Elephas maximus indicus: one gene and its partner. The protein of the gene in region 2 interacts with the protein of the main gene of each other region in a pairwise test. Links are inferred from orthologs where the notes say so. Each region holds a gene or a part of one and is shown on either strand. Other genes may lie near its edges.

Region 1 (10,182 bases), on a different chromosome or scaffold from region 2:
TAGGAATAATGATAGATCTAAAACAGTAATAATTCGTCTCTCTGCTTTCTGTTATTTAGAAATGTTAGCTCCTTAGCTCCTTGAGTGTCGGTAGTAGAATACACTCAATAAACATTTGACTAATTAATGAAGAATCTCTTAAGGCATAATAGTACTTTATTGTGACCAGAATGCATGATATATAAAATCTAAAGAAATTTATTCATCATAAAAAATATATACAGTACTTAGTAGGTGTCTCAGATATTTCTAGTTGCCTCAGACAATTCCTGGTACATCCAGAGGAGTTTGTACTAAATATCAGGTATAAAATGATTTCCTTAAATCATAAGCTTTATAGAAAAATTTTATAGTCTCTTTAGTGAATTTACTTCTTTAGGAAGATGGTACCATATCGTACTTCCCTCTTCAGCTCCATTAATTTATTGTGGAAATTCCATGCCTTTGAAACTAGTCACAGTAGTCCTTCGGTATCCATAGGAGATTGGTTCCAGAACAACCCTTCCATACCAAAATCCTCAAACGCTCAATTCTACACACATCCTCCCATATACTTTAAATCATCTCTGTTGTTAGCAGCCGTTGAGTCAGTTCTGACTCATAGCGACCCTGTGTACAACAGAACGGAACGTTATCCGGTCCTGAGCCATGCTATCAATTGTTGTTTTGCTTTAGCCCATTGTTGCAGCTTTGTGTCAGTCAAACTCTCTGAGGGCCTTCCTCTTTTTGTTGATGCCCTACTTTACCAAGGATGATGTCCTTCTCCAGGGACTGGTCCCTCCTGATAACACCTCCAAAGTATGTTAGACAAAATCTTGCCATGCTCACTTCTAAGGGGCATTATGGCTGTGCTTCTTCTAAGACATGTTTTGATTTGTTTGTTCTTCTGGCAGTCCATGGTATATTCAATATTCTTCTCCAACACCATAATTTAAAGCCCTCAATTCTTCTTCCCTCTTCCTTATTCATTGCCCAGCTTTCACATGTATATGAGGTGAATGAAAACACCAAGCTTGGGTCAGGTGCACCTTAGTCCTTAAAGTGACATCTTTGCTTTTAACACTCTAAAGAGGTCTTTTGAAGCACATTTGCCCAATGTAATATGTCATTTGATTTCTTGACTGCTGCTTCCATAAGCATTGACTGTGTATCCAAGTGAAATTAAATCCTTGACAACTTCAGTCTTTTCTTGGTTTATCATCATGTTTCTTATTGATCCAGTTGTGAAGATTTTTTTTTTTATGTTGAGGTGTAATTCATACTGAAGGCTGTGGTCTTTGATCTTCATCAATAAGTGCTTCAAATTCTCTTCATTTTCAGCAAGGTAGATTGTGTCTTCTGAATATCACAGGTTGTTAACAAGTCTTCCTCCAATCCTGGTGCCCTGTTCTTCTTCATATACTCCAGCTTCTCAGATTATTAGCTCAGCATACAGATTGAATGAATATGGTGAAAGGACACAACCCTAATGCACACCTTTCTTGACTTTAAACCACACAGTATTACCTTATTGTGTTTGAACAACTGCTTCTTGACCTAAGTACAGGTTCCTCATGAGTACAATTAAGTGTTCTGGAATTTCAATTCTTGGAAATGTTCTCTGTAATTTGTTATGATCCGCACAGTAAAATGCCTTTGCATAGTCAATAAAACACAGGTAAACACCTTTCTAGTATTCTCTGCTTTCAGCCAACATCCATATGACATCAGCAATGATATCCCTGGTTCCACATCTCTTCTGAATCTGGTTTGGGTTTCTGGCACTTCCCTGTCGATATACTGCTGCAGCTGCTTTTGAATGATCTTCAGCAAAATTTTACTGGTGTGTGATATTAATGATACTGTTCCATAATTTCCACACTCTGTTGGATCATCTTTCTTTGGAATCGTTACAAATATGGATCTCTTTCAGTTGATTGGCCAGGTAGCTGTCTTCCAAATTTCTTGACACAGATGAGTGAGCACCTCTGGCACTGAAAACGTTTTTTCTAAACATCTCCGTTGGTATTCCATCAATTTCTGGAATCCTGTTTTTCACCAATGCCTTCAGTGTAGCTTGGAACTCTTCCTTTAGTAACATCAGTTCTTGATCATATACAATCTCCTTAAATGGCTGAACATCAATTCTTTTTGGTACAGTGAGTCCGTGTATTCCTTCCTTCTTCTTTTGTATTTTTTTCAAATATTTTCAATCTGTGGTTGGTTGAATCCACTGATGTGGAACCCATGGACTCGGAGTTTCTCAGACAGCCTATCTAAATTTTAATCATGGCCCCACCATGACCCTAGAATAGTAAAATTACCTCCCTATCTCTCAATTCACTTATAAATAAAATGGGGATTAATAGTACCAACTCAATAGAGTTAATGTAAGGGTTAAATGAAATTATGTATGTCAAACCTTTAAACAAGTGCCTGGCATGTAATGAATGTTCATTGAAAGTATGCATTATTGCTAATCTCCTCTAACAGTACTCACCCTTGGTGCCCAGAACCACAGCTATCACCAGTGTTATCAAGAATAAGATCCCCAAAATCACAGCAATGACACACCAACGAGGAGATGCAGCACAAGTTCCTGAGGAGCCAGAGGGAGAAGAAGTTGAATGAAGGACTAGAATGATGGACTGAGAAACCAAAAAGCCAAACCTGTTGATTCGGACTCACAGCGACCCTAAAGGACAGAGTAGAACTGCCTCATAGAGTTTCCAAGGAGTGCCTGGGGGATTCGAACTGCTGACCTTTTGGTTAGCAGCCGTAGCACTTAACCACTACACCTGATGGACTGTGAGGCTCTTTAAATCTACAGTTCATCAAAATCTGGCAAATTCCAAAGTGAACCATTCATTAGTCACTGTTTTTGAGATAATCTAATCATCTAGTACTAGCCTAATTTTTTATACACCTTTAGCATGCCTCTTCAAGCCCTGGACATGTAATTTGGGCACAGTGCTTTGATATGTATCCATTCTTAATTTCAGTTCCACAAAGTCAGCTACAGGTCTTGTCACTGCTAGGAATCCTGAAATCCCACTTATTCCTTAAGCAGGGAGCTTAATGTAGGGGAAAGAACAGTGGTTACCAAGGGTGGCAAAATCAAAATATGGAACCTTCTCTTTTTACTTATTTGCTGCAGGATCTTGAGCAAATTACCCCCTCTGGTTTTTCATTATTATTTATTGAAAACTGGACTAAGAATACTTCAATGGATTGTTGTGGGGATTGCATTGGTTTACATAAGTAAAAGCACCTAGTTTAAATACTGTTAGCACACTGTAGGTAACTCAGTGTTTGCCCACGCATACACATAAACACATGCATGCCTTCCTCCCTCTTGCCTCACTCAGTTTTTCCACTCTTCCCCAGTAGATTGCTCAAGGAAAGAATTACATAAGTGGTGAGACAAAAATAATTGTGCAATGTGACTAACAAGAAAGCAGAAGAGAGCAAATTCTTATGCCAAAACCTGTCAATAATCTCTCTCCCGATATAACATGGAACCCATTTTGTGTTAACATTGACACACTAAGAACCTATCTCTGCCTTTAACTGAGAATAAGTAATAAGAGAATTTCATAGGATTTTCAAATAGGAAACTAATAATAAAAAAAAAAAAAAACCAAACCTGTTGCCATTAAGTCAATACCAACTCATAGCGACCCTACAGGACAGAACAGAACTGCCTCATAGGATTTCCAAGGAGCACCTGGTGGATTTGAACTACCATCCTTTTGGTTAGTAGCTATAGCTCTTAACCACTATACCACCAGGGTTTCCAGGAAACTAATAGAGGAGGCTAAATTATTAATTCTATGAAAAGATGGGTTTTTCTTATGTCCTTCGTATTTCACCTTCTTATATTTTAAGACTCATTTGTCACTAAAGGAATCTCTTCCTTTAACATGTGTATTTTCCTTCACCGGTATATCAAGAACTTCCCTTTGATTAAAAGCTAATTAAATCAATAAGCCAAATCAATTTCACATCACATAAATCATAACAAATCAATATTATAAACACTATTACATCTGACTTCCATTTTACCAGAATATGACAGATTCTTTTTCCCTCGGTGCCTTCCATTACTGATCTTCCATCTTTTTTTTTTTTTTTTATCATTCGCTTTCTTATCTGCTATATCCTGATGTTCTTATACACTTCTTTAAGTTTCCTTGACCTCCATTCTACAATCTATGCCTTTCTATCAACCAAGCAATAAACCACTCTTATTGAAATTCCTTCATTTTTGCTCATTGCCACATTTATTACAACTCCTCACTGTTCAAATGTCTACTCCTACAGAAAAGAGAAATTCTGAATATTTTGTCATCATACATAATTAATTTAAATACTAGTAATTAGACACTGAATGCTATTATCTGAGTTGCCACAAGAAAATACTTAGCTCACATTCAAATTATCTTCAGTGACTTCTGAAAACCTGACATTTAAAAAAGTATTAATAAAAGCCCTATAAATCACAAGTCTCAAATTTTCTTCTCTTCGGTGATTTGGATAATGATGATGAAAGTATTGAAGGGATAAAGAAAAATTACCTTTCTTTGAGACTATAGGTCTCCTGGAGTTGTCTCTAGAGTTGAAGTCTAATTGAGTATATCCATCCTCATCCAAATTTTCTGTATTGGAATAATATTCCATTGTTCTGTTGAGTCCCTGGACAGACATAGCATCTGAGAGCCCTTTCTTCTCTTCTAAGACAACTGCTTACGGACAAAAGAGGACCTATGAGTCAAATCATGTGGGATGGGCAATCGCTGAGGTTTAACGACTTGAGCTTGAGTAGTTCAACCAGATACCCAGGAGCAGGAAGTGAAAATTCTGCTGTGGCAATTTCCCATTCGGACCTTTAGATCCTATTTCTGAGACTGCTGATTCTAAGAAAATTATAACACAGCATAGTAGATAGATCCTTGTTTCAGACCTAATAAAATAAAAATATATAGATTTATGTCCCAAGCTGCTTTCATTATTCTCACAACTGATTTTGACATCATTAAATGACTTGGCTTATGCAAACTGTCAAACAATCTTGGTATCTTGAGTTCACCATGACTTCATTATGACTACACATTCATTAATTTATTCATGCATTCATTCAATAAACATTTGTTGAATGTCCACCTTTTCAACCAATAGGAGTTGGGAATATAAGGATAAACAATACCTGTGTAGAAGCTTATTGCTTAGCAAAGGAAACCTACAGATGAAAGTGTGAAGGATGCCATTAGGAGGGGCATAATTGTAGCAACAGCAGGGATCAAATATCTGATATTTGTCGTGGGATAATCACACGAAGCAGTAATTATTTATTGAACAATTACTATGTGTTAGGTACTGTGCATTGTACTTGCTTTCTCATTTAATCTCAGTTTTCCAGCGAGCCTATATTGTAGGTATTATTATTTCTATTTTCAGATGAAAAAATTTAGCCCCTTTCTCAGGTTTAAGTAGTTAATAAAAGAGAGTGGACTAAGTAATCAGAGCAAGGTTCACTCCTGCTGCAAACTTCGTGCCCTTTCTGTTAGGTTACACTGCCTCCTTCACCATTCTGTACATTTCTGTAGCAATTAACAGCTCATGGAGAGTTCTGGGACTGAAATGTTCTGCAAAGTGTTTGATTTTTTCCTCTCTTCCAATTTCCTTAGTAATGATTAAATCAATGATACATGGAAAATACTTATTACTTCTAGAAACTAGACAGATGTCCAATCCATTTATCAGAATTTGAAGACTGTAGAAAGCAGGACACATCTGTTTAACATGTTATCAAAATGGAAGATAGATCACTGGAGAGTAAATAAGTGGGTTCCTCCCTGTCTTAACCACAATTTTCTAGAGAAACGGAATCATTAAGACATATAGATACAGGCGTAAGTTTGCTATGAGTTGGAATCAACTGGACAGCAGCGAGTTTGGTTTGGTTTTATAGATGTAGATATAGATATTGTTTTTAGCTAACATTGATTCAGACCCCAACTCATGGTGACCCCACATGCAACAGGATCAGACCATAGTGATCCATAAAATTTTCATTGGCTTATTTTCAGAAGTAAATCGCTGGGCTTTCCTTCCTAGTCTGTCTTAGTCTGGAAGCCCCATGAAACCTATTCAGCATCATAGCTAAATGCAAGCCTCTGTTGACAGACGGGTATTGGCTGTGAATGAGTTGCCCTGGCCAGGAATAGAATCAAACTCAGATCTGCATGAAAGGTGAGAATTCTACCACTGAATCACTAATGCCTCTCATATATATATATACATACATACTCACAAACACACATATATATATTTATGTATACACATGTATCTATATAATAGAGGCAGAGAGATTTATTTTTAAGGAATTGGCTTGCTCACAGGATGTGGGGGCTGGAAAATTAAAAATCTGTGGGTCAGGCAACAGACTGGCGATTCCTGCAGTCTTACATACCAACATTCATAGGTCAGGTGATGGGGAAGAATAAAGAGTGAAGGGGTTCTGGCAAAATGTCTACTTACAGTCTGAAAGAAGAATACACCTTAAGAGAAAGTCCCTTTTTGCTCTTATGGCCTTTAACTGATTGGTTGAAGCCCACACACATTATGGAGGGTAATCTGTTTTACCTGAGGCATGTAACTAATTTAATCACATGTAACTACTTCATACGGAAACCCTGGTGGCATAGTGGTTAAGTGCTACTGCTGGTAACCAAAGCGTCAGCAGTTCAAATCCACCAGGCCCTCCTTGGAAACTCTTTGGGGCAGTTCTACTCTGTCCTATGGGGTCACTATGAGTTGGAATCGGCTCGATGGCACTGGGTTTGGTTTTTTGGTTTAACTACTTCATAAAAGCATCTAGAAAAGCGTTTGTCCAAAAAAACGGGCACCACAGTCTAGCCAAGTTGACACATAAAATTAAACTTCCACTAACTTTTTGTAGGTGTGCTGCAAAGCAGCAGTGTGGTCTAATTCCAACATTCTTCAGTATTTCAGTTCTATAAAGGAGCCCTTAGAAAGCAGGCCATATCATGGCTAAAGGCAGGAGGGTCAGCCTACTATACAGAACCAAAGAACAGCGATGAGGGAAACACTTCTTCCAGGCAGTAATTGGAGAAGCTGGATTTATTCTGTCAATGCAGACCGCTGATACAAGAGTCTTTCTGTATGAAATGACTTTTATTCTCTATGACTATATTCCTCTATTTAATCTCAATCCCACAAAAACAATTGACTCTCTAAACTGTCAAAGAAAAATGCAATAGACATAAACTTTGGTGTTTTTTATTCTGGGAGCCCTGGTTGTGCAGCGGCTAAAGTGCTTGGCTGCTGACTAAAAGGTCATTGATTTGAACCTTCCAGCCACTCAGCAGGAGAAAGATGTGGCGGTCTGCTTCAGTAAAGATCTGTCCTACAGGGCCGCTATGAGTCCGAATCCACTGGATGGCAGTGAGAGGCAGTCAAACAACTGAACAGCGAAACTTGACATACTGGAAAAATAAGAAAACCCTCCGCATTTAAAAGGATGGGGAAAGGAGAGGGTCTAAATATCCAGAGAAAAATACTCTCTGTTAAACATTAATTTGGGAGGCCTTTGTGGTTAGTGGTTAAGAGCTTGGCTGCTAATCAAAATTTCCGCAGTTCCAGGAATCTATCAGTCACTTCTTGGAAACTCAGGGGGCAATTCTACTCTGTCCTATAGGGTTGCTGTAAGATAGAATCGACTCCACTGCAACAAGTTTGGTTTTGTTTTTAAACATTAATGTAAGAAACAGGAGAAAAATAAGTGGACTTAACCAAAATACCAAATAGGCAAAAAAAGAAAAAAAAGGTAATAATAATAATTCATATTCTCAGTGGGATTTGATGAAAAAACTGATTCATAAAACCAAAAACCCATAAAATCACACAAACCCTCTTTGTGACAAAACATTTGTGAACCGTGAACTCAGAGTTCACATTATGAAAAGGATTTATCTTTACCTAAAGCCAAAAATTGACTCGATGGCAGTGGGTTTGGTTTTTTTTTTTTTTTTTATGGCGCCTTGGTGCTGTAGTGGTTAAGTGCTCTGGCTGCTAACTAAAGGGTTGGCAGTTCAGATCCACCAGGCACTCCTTGGAAACTCTATGGAGCAGATCTACCCTGTTCCATAGAGTCACTCTTAGCTGGAATCGACTCCACAACGACAGGCTTGGTATTTTTTGGTTTGGGTAGGGAGCCCTGGTGGGGTAGTGGTTAGGAGCTTGGCTGCTACCCCAAAGGCTGGCAGTTTGAATTCCACCAGACACTCCTTGGAAAGCCTATTGGGGGCAGTTCTACTCTGTGCTATAGGGTCACTATAAGTCATAATCAACTCAAGGGTATATCGCCATCAAGAAGCCCTGGTGGTGCAGCGGTTAAAGTGCTAGGTTTGAATCCACCAGTCGCTCCATGGGAGAAAGATGTGGCAATCTGCTTCTGTAAAGATTTACAGCCTTGGAAACACTTTAGGACATTTCTGCACTGTCCTATAAGGTCACCGTGAGTCAGAATTGACTTCACAGCAATGGGTTTTGTTTTGTTTTGTTTTTTTGGTATTGCCACCTTGTCTCTTTGTTCCTGTCTATCTGTTCTCGAGTGCATTCCACATTGGTCAATGATCTTTGTGCAACTTTTCTATGCACTCAGAGGAATCTGACAATCTGAGCCTCATTTTCTTTTCAACAAATTAAAATGAATAGTATTGTACAAAATACTTTGAATTATATGTGTAAAATCTTTTAAATTATAGTAATGTACTTCTGGGAAAAGGAGAAAGTTTTACACCTATATTTATGTATATCACATTAATAAAAAATATTACAGTTTCTGATTTAGAGCTTACCTTCCCCAATTTGTCAATGATTTTGTCAAAATTAATATTTTTCATATATTCTCGTTGACTAATCAATTTAATTTTGAAAAGTTTATTTTGCTGAAGAAACATATACGTAAACTTAGGAAAAAGGTTTATAAGGATACAAGAGATCTATAAAACTCTTATTTCACAATAGTTTCAGAAATTGCAAGATTGCTCATGTCTTTTTCCTTCAGAATCAATTCTAGAGGCTTCAAATGTTGCTCTGCAGGTCAAAAAATTTTATACAATATAAATAAAAATTCTAAGTGGTCACATAGAATGACAGTTAAAGTAGACCAAATTCTGTTTCTTTGTTTTTATAATCACTGTACAATACTATCATTGCTTACCTCAAATTTACTGTTTAAACACTGAAATAGGTAGTTCCATAAGCCTGTTGCCATCAAGCCAATTCCTAGTCATAGCAACCCTGTAGGAGAGAGTAGGACTGCACCATAAATTTTCCGAGGAGCGCCTGGCGGATTCAAACTGCTGACGGTTTGGTCAGCAGCTGTAGCACTTAACCCACTATGCCACCAGGGTTTCCCTAGTTCCATAAGGTGTAGTTAAAATGATGCAAACAGCAAGCAGTGCTTTGAGTGAACTTGAGCAATTCCAAATTATTCCAACTTATTCCAGAAAGGAATGCATGTTGCTGAATCCCCAAGTGCCTGTATAATGGGAGTCCTGTGAATTAATTTCTATGTGGACTGCAACATTTACTAAAGGATAATAATGCTAATGTGCTAATTTGAAGCATATATGTATATGTGTGTGAGTGTTTATATATAATTCAAACTCAACAGTAATGAACTTTGGGCAACGAAAGATATTTTCAGGGAGTATTTTAACACTGACATTGTTTAGATTTGCTGGTTTATGGTCATAATAAAAAGCAGATTAACTTTTGGTTAGTTTTATTATTATTTTTTTTAATCTCTACAGACAGTGCACCACTCTTTATTGCCTGCTGACTGCTCTTGCTGTCCCGTATTCTCCATTGTCCTTACAAGGACTCTGTCTTGATCATTAGGGTATCCTTCGCATTTAACATGTTAATGCAATTCTGTCAAGTCGATTCTGACACATTGCGATCCTATAGGACAGAGCAGAACTGCCTGACAAGGTTTTCGAGGAGCAGCTGGTAGATTCGAACTGCCGAACTTTTGGTTAGCAGTCGACCTCATAACCACTATGCCACCAGGGCTCCATTTAACATATTCCCTGGAACTTAATAGCTGCCTCATAAATATGTGTTAAATGAAAGAATGCATCAGAGTGTCTTATTCGTGTAAGTACCCCCTCT
Region 2 (10,182 bases):
GAGCGGCCCACGGCGAAGGTCAGCCAGTATATCAGCCTGCGAAGGCAAGAAAGGGTCAGACCATCCTATGGATCACAACAGTCCCATCCGTTGTGCGTGGGGTGGCCATGAGTCTGTCGCCCACTGGACATAAGCTCATAACCACCACCACCCTCGAGGGAAGCGCATAGGCTGATGGTGGTGAGAACACACAGTGAAGGAGGTAGATGGGGGCTGGTGAATACAGCTGGTATACTAATAACAGCCAATATTCGTGCACTTACAATGTGCCAGGTACTGTGCTAATTACTTGAACAGCACTATTAGACTTATCCACATCTCTATGAAACCGGTATATTTATCCTCCTCTTTTATATATTTTTCAAATTTTAATTAAAAATTTTCGAATGGGTAGTATACATTGACATGGTTCAAAATTCAAAGGTACCCCCATGCATATAGTACCTTTCCTGACTCCCTGGCAGCCGGTGTTATGGTTTCTTGTGCTTCAAGTGATCTTTTACACACATAGGATGAGCGAAACGATTTTTGTTTTCTTTTTCTCCCTTTTTTGAAGTACAGCAGCATACTATATGCACTGTTCTACACGTTGATTTTTTTCTTTTAACGTATCTTGGAGATAATTTTATATCAGTATATAAACAGCTTCCTCATTCTTTTACATCGGCAGTGCATTTCAGTGTGTTTATTTCCTCTTTTGCCAATGAGGAAACTAAGGCTCCAAAGGGGTTAAATAAGACTGGCTCAAGGTTATACATCTGGGAAATAGCAAAGCTGTGATTTGAACCCAAGCCTCCTGTCTTTTTAAAGGGGCAGAGGAAAAAGAGGAGAAGCCAGCTTCACGAGGGCTTGAAGCCCAGAGGGATGGGTCAGCCACCAAATTTTCCCTTTCGGAAAAACAAAATACACATCCTTCAATGGGGATTGGAGGAGCAGCATCTGCTTAATATAAAAAGGACTGACCACTCATTACAAAATTGCTTTTTCACCTGTGAAAGGGAGGGAAGAGTAACTGCGGTTTCTGGACTGTACCAGGAAGCAGCATGGGATAACAGTAAGAGGCCACATTTATCAAGCCTTCCCAAGTGCCTGGCTGCTGTAAGCACCCTACAGGAATTAACTCATTCAGTCCTCACAACAACTGCATTTTATAGATGATGAAACAGGGACAAAATGCTAAGGCAACTTGGCCATGGAAGAGAAAAAAGGAGCCTGGATAGAAGGAGGAAGGGACCTGGATTCCAGTCCTATAAAATGAGGCGGCTGGACCGGATAATTGCTGAGTCTTCCTTTAGCTGCCTAATGATTCTTACTGCTTAAGCCAACTTCTCCCTGAGACCAGCATTCTCCAAGAGAGATGGGAGGTTGAGTTACGTAAGCAGGAACATATTTATCTTGAGAAACATTTACGGAGAGAAAAGGCAAAGCTGCATGATGGTCAGGAGGCTGGGGGAGGGGGGTACAGCTGACCACTAGACTACAATCAAAAGTGACAGGAAGGCACATTTTAGCTTGATATAAGGAATAATATTTTAGCAGTTAAAGCTACCTGGAAGCCTGTATCAAAAGTAACAAGAGGAAATGTATTAGGGAAAAATGGAAAGACCTGCGTTTGGGCTCAGAAATTCAAAGATGCCTTCCAGGTGAACAGTAGTTCACGTGGAAAAAGCCCTAGGGATTTCAGGGGACTGCAGACTCTGAATGAAAGGAGAGTAATGACGCTACCATGAGAGCTAATGTGGCCATGGTTTGCATGAATAGGATAGTGCCCTTGAAGGGTCCCCATTAACAAGCAGGAGAATTTCCTGCCCAGAGGAAAGGACCTGGGACAGTGAAGGGACCTGGGCAGTTAGCAAAGAAAGAGACTGGGTAGCAGGGTGCTGAGCTAGGGGGTTTAAGAGCTGTCATCAAACGCCTGAATTTGCCTTAGGCAATTCCAGAGATCAGGGTCGGGGCAGCAGTTTTCAGCACAACATAAAAACTTTCTAACAGTTAACCTGTTGTCATCAAGTCAATTCCGACTCATGGCAACCCCATGTATTACAGAGTAGAATTCAGCTCCGTGGGGTTTTCTTGGCTGTAATCTTTATGGAAGCAGATCACCAGGCCTTTCTCTCATGGTGCTACTGGGTGGGTTCAAAACCATCAACTTTTTGATTAGTAGTGGGTGCAAGTCATTTGCAATGCCCAGGGACTCCTAATAATTGTTGTGTGCCCTCGAGTCGATTCTGACTCATAGAGACCCAGTGTGACAGAGTAGAACTGCCCCATGGGGTCTCCCAGGCTGTAATCTTTACAGGAGCAGATCGCCAGGTTTCTTCTCCCACAGAGCAGTGGTGGGTTAGAACCTCCAACCTTTCAGTTAGCAGCTGAGCACTTAACCATTGTGCCACCAGGGCTCCTTTATAACAATCAGGACCTTTAAGAAGTGAAACAGATTGTCTTGTAAAGAATTGAGCCCCTTATCTGAGGGGGTGTTCAACAAGACGCCAAATGGCCACTAGACCAGAGTGCCACAGAGGAGTGGCTACAACGGGTGGGAGGTTGGTCAGGATGATGCCTGAATGCCCTTCAGGTTCTAGGTTGGTATATATGTCTCTGAAGTCAGCTTCCTATGAGAAGACATATGAGCTGATTACCCACTACCAGGTGAGGTCAAGTGCAAGGGAGAAAGTGGACTCACTGCTCCAGGATTCACATTTGGGCTGATGCAGAATCCAGAAAGACCCCTGTCCCTGGTTCTCCAGCCATTCAGTTGCCTGGGTCCCTCTAGCATCACTGCCTTGCCCTCAAGCTCCACCCGCAGTCCCAACTCACCTGGAGATGGCAAAGAGGCCAGTGAGCAGTGGGAGCAGCTTGAGGGTGTCCTGGGGCAGGTAGGTGGAAAGCACGGCCAGGTTGAAGAAGTAGAGGATGAAGAGCTGCACCGACTGGGCCACATATCGCCGGTGGATCTCCACCTCCCGCCGGGGCTCCCCAAAGGGCCGTAGGGCAGAAAAGCACAGCAGGCTCAGCCCATATACCAGGATTCCTGGGGTGGGGTTGGGGAGCACACAGAGTCAGGAAAGACAGGAGGAAGGAGCTTTAGGCAGGAAGCTGGGGCCAGGGTTCACAGTGGAGGGTGCAGGCCCCACAGAAGGAAAGTGCATAGATTATACACAGTGGGGCTGAGGTGGTCCTAAGATGGGTGGACACACAGGTGGCAGGGCACAGGAGGCCATGAGGGGTCCAGCTCGAGTGAAGGGAAACCCAACTGCTCCCCAAACCAGCAGGTCCCACCCTCCTCGAGTCTAGTTCCCAGATGTCCCCTTTCTTCTGAAGGGCCCCGAGCTCACCCAGCACGATGGGGAAGGTGGCAAAGACCCCGCAGCGCAGCGTGTAGACCAGACGGGAACTCACTGTGGGCAGCCGAGGGGCATCGAAGGGCAAGAAGGCATATGCCCCATACAGTAGGCAGGGGAAGAGGATGAGGGCGGCCCCTACCGAGGCCACGGCCCTCAGCCCCTCACGGCTCCCACAGCCCTTGCAGGACCGGCTAGGTGGCCTCACCACTGCCTCAGCCCACTTGCGCTCAGGGGGCTCAGGGTGGGTGGCCCGGGTGGGCAGAAAGGCCCGGCGCTCCTCCTCGCCTGACTCACAGCGCACTATGAGGTCCTCCTGGGGCCGCCGCTCAATGCATTGTAGGTCGATGGGCACAAAGGCGCGGGCTGCCTTCTCAGGCAGCAGGTTCACATCATCTTCGGATGGCTCCTCTGGCCTGGGAGGTGGCTCTGACTCTAGGGACTCTGGCCCAATGCCCCGCCAGCCGGGGGGGTCTGGGAACGGAGCACTGGGCTGGGGGCCAGTCCCCCAGGGCAAGGTGGCAGCCTCGCTCACTGTGCTGTCCAGACCATCCTCAGTCCCCTCTCCAGCCATGGGAGACCCAACCGAAGACTCCACTCTGGGGGACTCAGCTCTGGGGGACTCAGCCCCACCTTCCCCTTCTGGCTGCTGGCCATTGGGAACCAAAGCCTGAGGTGGGCTCTTTTCCAAAGCCTCGGACCCCTTCACTTCCAACAGGGCTACAGTCTCAGGTTTGGTCATGCTGAGGCCTCAGTTCTGGGGTCTACAGCGAGGTCATGTCACCCTGCAGAGAGCAGAGGGAAGCTCTGTCAGTGCCCCTGTCCTCTGGCCCTTAGGACAAGCGGGCAGAGCTGGAACTCTCCAGGACAGACCCTTGATGGGCTTGAGCCCCATCTGGGACCTTAAGGAGAACATGCTGTGAGGAAGGTGTTGAAACAGAGGGAGGTGGAAGGGAAGTGAGCAGCTGAAATGGAGGCTCCCTTTCGACACCAAATGCCAACCAGCAGGAGACGGTGAGTCAGGGGGGCACAGGTCCTGGCAGTTATGGCCTCAGCTGGCCTACCCACGCCTTCTGCCCCACTCCACCAAAACCCCTGGGGTCATGGCCACCCTAATCCAGGAAAGGGAGAAAGAGGAGGTGTCTAGAACTTTGCCAAGAACTTCCTTTCCACCCAGGACCTTCCTGTGACTAGAGAAGCTGCCCCCCTATTTTCCCACCTGCCCTTCCCCCTGCAGACCACCACGTGGAACTCTAGTGGCAGTGGATGCCCGTGATTTGCCTACAAATATGTCCTAGGGAGCTAGCTGTCCCAGGGCACCCTGTCCCTTCAGCTCCAATCTGGGTATTTGGTCAGATTCCAAACACCTCACTGGCCTACTTCATCTACCTCCACAGGGCTGGGGTCTGTCCATTCCCAACTTCCAGGTTTAATAATGGCTGTTTTCCATGTCTCTCCTCCTGCCTTTCTTTCCACCCTGCCATTTGGTCTGCACCTCACTGCTCCCTCCTTTTCCTCAAGGACCCTTCTACCCCTCCTCGCAGTTTGGACCCATGACACCCTCTTACTTTCCATCTGGAGACAGGTGGAGGGTCCTGGCCGGTGTCTGGGAAGGAGCTGCCCAGCTCCCTGCTGGCTCTACAAGTATTTCTCTCCGTCTCCCTCTCTTTACCTGTGTCTCCAAACCTGTCTGACCAGAGCAGGTGGGGCCCAGATTAAAGGAGCAGGCCCCGCCCAGCTGAATTGGCCGACAGAAAAGGCATTAGAGGAGGGACTTCATTCTTTCTGGAAGTGGGGGTGCAGGTGGGCATAGGCACCAGTACACTTTTTAGGTACATGGGATGTGTAGGGGCTCCCAGCTAGGAAAGCAGAGGAGGAAGAGTGGGTTTGTATATTCGCAGGTATTGGAATAAGTTGGAATGCCCAGAAAAGAGGTGGAATTTGTACATTTATTTATTCAGTAAATACTTATTGAACTATTATTAGCTAGATGCTATTTTAGGTACTGACCCAGAAGAAAACAAGGTGACAGCCAAGGTCCCTGTCCTTGAGGAGCTTTTGTTCTATTGGGGTGATAGATAATTAAAAAACCTAGCAACTAAGCCAAAAAGACAATTTCAATAAGGAAAGTCTCTTTGACAGGGTGACATTCCAGCCGAGACCTGATGGGAAATCAGGAGTATGAGTGTTCCAGGCAGAGGAACAGCAAGTGAAAGGCCAACAGGTAGGAAGGACAGACTGTTTCAGGAGCAGAAAGGTCAGGTGGCTGGAGCCAAGAGCATAGTGGTGGAAGGGAAATTTATGTTCCCATTGCAACCTGTAAACAGGCTCGGGGACACCTTGCTTTTTAACTTATTAAGGTTAAGAGAGCAATACAAATCCATGTTAGATAGCAGGTGATCCTTCTACGTGAGCGAGTGGGAGAAAAAGTGGCTTTTCATTCCTGTGCGATCTTATTCCTAAAGGCATTGGAACTCTGTGAGACCACGGTTAGTGTCTAGCTTGCTCACCTCTGTGTCCTCAGCACGGTGGTTGGAAGACAGCAAGTATTCAATAAATGTTTGCTGGGCTGGTATGAGAGAGATACGCAAGCTGAAAATCTTTCGGAGGTGGAGCTGAAAGGCGCGATGCTTGTACAAAAGTCTCACTGGGACTTACTCCTATGTGATCCTTGGCTTTTTCCAAGAAAATTTTAACTTTTTTTTTTTTAATTATGGAAAAAAGGGAGAATTGGAGTCACTCTAACCAGTAACCTGAAAGACGCTCGGCTCAAATGGGGAGGGAATGAGGGCAGATCACTGGGACGCCCCTCGCTGTTGGCTCTCCTGCCCCAATCCAGTTTAGCTTCAGCCTCCTGAGTCCACTGTCTGTTCTCTGGAAGCTTTGTCAATAAAGTTTTTCGTGAGCGCTTAGAGAAGCCAGAATGGAGCCATGCTGCCCAGAGTTAGTTCTGGCAACTTCCCGGGAGGGAAAATGAGTTTCGCGAGATTTGGCAGTAGCCGGCCACTGGCCTACAACCGTGCGCCTGACTGATATCGCGAGATTTGACAGGCGGAGGAGGAGCTGTCGCGGGCAGCGTCCTCACAGCGATGGCGGCCGAGCAGGGCCGGCGGTGGTGGCGGCTGCGGCTACGGCTGGATATGGCAATGGCAGCGGCAGCGGTAGGTGGCGGGGGCCTGTGACCGGGAGCCGTCCCCGGACCCGGGCACCATGAGCCAAGGCCCCCCGACAGGGGAGAGCAGCGAGCCCGAAGCAAAGGTCCTCCACACCAAGCGGCTTTACCGGTGAGAGGGGCTGGGGCGTGAGTGCAGCAGCCGAGGGAAGTGGGGGGACAGCGAGGGGCGGGGCTTCCCGGACGGGCGGGGGCCAGGTGCCGGGCTGGGCGGCGGGCGAGGGAGGAGGGTGCAATTTTGGAGGGAGCAGGAGGGGTGGGGCTCCGTAACCGGGATGGAGCTGAAGGGCGGAATTGGGTGGGTGGGAGGTTTGGAGGGAAGCACGTGGAGGCATCCCCTCCGCGGTGAACTTGGGGCGGGCACTGAGCTTTGCGGGTTTGTGGTAAGAGGCTGGGAATTGGGGCTGGAAGGGTTAGAGAGGTGAGGGCGGGGCCGCAGATAGAGAAAAACCCGGAAGGGAACGGTGCTTAGAACCCTGTAGGGGATTCCTGCGGGCCGGACTTAACAGGGAAGAGCCCCGGACTCAAAGCCAGGTTCGGGTCATTGCTTCGCCGTTTTCTGACTGTGTGACCTTGAGTCTCGGTTTCCTTGTCCTTAAAAGGAGCGATTCGGATTGGACAAGCTCTTGAAGCCATTTATGACTCTATAAATTTTGGGGAGTCTGAATGAGAACAGAGAGGCTGGAAGGCTAGTTGCGTTCGACAGGAAGGGCCATGAAGGACTTTGGGTTCAGGGTGTTCTTAGGAAATGGGAGCCCACTTCAGGGCCCTCAGGGACTCCTGAGTCTTGCCTTTCCCCCAGCCTCATGACTGCAGTCCCTTGCCAGGCAGCTTCCATTCCTGGTTTCTGATTTCCACGGTGTTTACCCACTCCTCACGTCACATCTTCGCCCTTCAGCCTCTGTTGGGAGCAGGCCAGTATGAGCTTTTCCCAGCCTGGGTTGAGGATTTGGGGGGTAGGGCAGCTAGAACATGGACCCCAGAACTGGATCAGAATAGGAGGAAGCGTAGAGAATGAGGTGAGTTTTATGCCCTTTTAGGGAGAAGAACTTGGGGTTTTCATTTATCACAGGCAATAGAGAACAGGAGTGTTTGCATGAGGAAACTACCTTCAGAGCCTTGGCCCCCATGTAGGCAGTGAAAGGGTCAAGAGCATGTTGTGTTTTCTTCCCTGAGCAGGCATCCTGCCTCCTCTGGTTTTGTAAGCCAGAAGGCAGAAGGCAGAGGGGAGCATAGGCTGCTCCAAAAATAGAAAGGTGATCCAATCCAGCAGCCCCTGGGCTCCCACTGTGGGCTGCCCCGGGCAGTCCCCAGGCAAGTAAGGAGTTAGCTGGGGGTGACACGTGTGCCTCGTCATGCTGCCGAATGTCAGCGCTGCCTGTCAGACAGAGCGTGGGCAATGTCTGCAACATTCCTTACTAGTCTCCAGCTTTTAGGGATGGCTGTGGTCATCTTTCTTGTCATTCTCAAATCTAGTTCTTTCTCAAGCCACTACCTTCACAGGTCTTAGCTGACTTAAGCTGGTGTGTTTGTGCGTGTGGTTTCCATGTGTGCACATGGGTATTTGTACCTGCAGTTGCATGTTGTTGGCTTTGAGCAGTGTGGAAATTTGAGGTAGCCCGTCTCTGTTTTTATTGTTTATTATAGCAAGGGCGATTGGTGGAAGGAAACTAGCGAAGGAAGATCTGACTTCTCTGCCCAAGATAAACTTGTTAGACTATAAAGCTGCCACTCACACTCCAGTAAATTTGGGAAACTCCCACAACCTAGTTGTTTACTCAAATAAAATTCTGAAATGTTTTAAGCACTCAAAAGGCAACAGGAGAAGGGATGCTGGAATGGATAAAACCAGAAAACCCATTGCCATCCAGTTGTTTCCGATTCATAGCAACCCTACAGGACAAAGTAGAACTGCCCCATAGGGCTTCCAAGGAGCAGCTGGTGGGTTCGAACTGCTGACGGTTTGATTAGCAGCCTGAGCTCTTAACCATTGTACCACCAGGGCTCTGAAACAAATAAAAGCACCAATTAATTAGGCAAATTAATTATTTCTTTTTTCAGCATTTAAAAAATATTAACACCGTGTTAAGCCTGGGATTACAGTAGTGAATGAGTCATAATACTGGTTTCTGTACAAACAATTTAGTGGAAGGAGCTTATGGTCTGATGAGGAGTGGGGAAAAGACTGCTGAACCCTTTCAGATTTGAGATCTTGTAATTGGAACTTCTTAGAGTAGTGATTATTAACCATTTTTGGATTGAGAAGTCTAAGGAGCGCTCTGGAGCCTCTCCATAAACACAAACACATACCACCAACACCTTAGATCTCTCCATGGCATTGAGGTCGAGAAGCCCTGCCTGGGGACTAAGCTGGCATGGAGTAAATCACTGATGGCTGCCAGATGCTGTCCCTGGCACCGAGGGCCAGGCTGGCTAAAAGGGTTTGGCTGCCATCTCTAGGCAGCCCAAAAGGTTTTTGGAGAAATGCTGAGTTCTCAGATTGCCTGTGAGAAGGCCTTGATTACTGTCCCACTCACTCAGCTGGGTGCTGGTGGTCACTTTGTCCTTTACAGGACAGCTTTTAGTGGTGTTCCACCTAAGCCGCCCCAGCCCAGGAACACAGTTTAGTTTGTTTTGGGAATCATCACTCCCAGTTTTTTGGTTGCTTTTATTTCCACATATATGCCTGATTCACCTATTGGTGCCTATCATGCTCTTGGTTTTACCCTTCTGGAGATGTCATCTACCTCTGGGACTTTTTGGCTTTCGATTGTAGACTTTCCTTGGCCTTTTATTTGCTGTGATGACAAACTTACTTCTCAGGGCTTGAGCCTTAGAAGGATGGAGACTAACACTTATTGAGCACTTATTATGTCCAGGTGCTGTTTTGAGTGCTTTGTGTATATTGGCTAATGTAATTCTTACAAGCTAGATGATGCTATTATCCCCATTTTATAGATGGAAGAACTGAAAGATAAAGAGGTTAGGTATTTTGCCCAGGACCACTTAGCTGCTTAGCTGGACAGAAGTAGAGCCAGGATTTGAACCCAGGCAGTCTGGTTCCAGAGCCTTCACTCTTAACAGTATGCTAAACAATTCCTTTAGTAGAATCCAGCAGACTAGGTTGAGTGGTGAAATGGACAGTCCACCTTACAAATAAGCCACTCAAGAGTCCCCTCCTACTTTTCCATGCCCCACTATTTCAAAGCAGAATTTTATACAAGGGATGCCTTCCCTTTATGTCAGATAATAACCCCGTGCATAATAATGATTTACTCATTCCGCCATCATTTATTGGATGCCTATGGTATACCAGTGTGGTATATAAATTATTTTATTCTATCTTCACAACAGTCCTCTGAGATAGCTGCTATTATTTTCATTTTTATTGATGGTGGTAACTAAGGCTTAAAGAGTTTAGGTAATTTGCCCAAAGTCACAGAGTTAGTAAGACACGGCCAGGGTTCAATCCCTGGATTTTCTGCCTGACATCACAGCCTGTGCTCTTTCTATGGGGGAGGGTGTTACATAGTTTCTCTTCCTTGACACTGTTGACGTTTGGGCCAGGTAATTCTTTGTTGTGGATGGCTGCTACTGTTGGGGGGCAGGGTATTTAGCATATCTCTGGCCTCTGTTCACTGAATGTTAGAGTACTGCCTTCATCTCCAG

What was found.
Region 1: the proteins of TMEM79 (region 2) and CLEC7A interact in binary tests that used the Homo sapiens proteins (3 or more experiments, as listed by UniProt). The two-hybrid records come from large-scale screens. The link is inferred for Elephas maximus indicus from reciprocal best matches to the Homo sapiens genes TMEM79 and CLEC7A.

What each region holds. Positions count from the first base shown.
Region 1 is NC_064822.1:67,379,874-67,390,055, forward strand, and holds the start of CLEC7A (C-type lectin domain family 7 member A), read right to left. Parts: upstream 4,765-10,182; 5' UTR 4,687-4,764; coding exon 4,557-4,686; intron 2,579-4,556; coding exon 2,480-2,578; intron 1-2,479.
Region 2 is NC_064821.1:194,075,551-194,085,732, reverse strand, and holds the start of TMEM79 (transmembrane protein 79), read right to left. Parts: upstream 5,019-10,182; 5' UTR 4,910-5,018; intron 4,127-4,909; 5' UTR 4,084-4,126; coding exon 3,336-4,083; intron 3,032-3,335; coding exon 2,818-3,031; intron 614-2,817; exon of another isoform or gene 37-613; coding exon 1-36. Other genes in the region: nonsense-mediated mRNA decay factor SMG5, read left to right, coding at 6,552-6,625.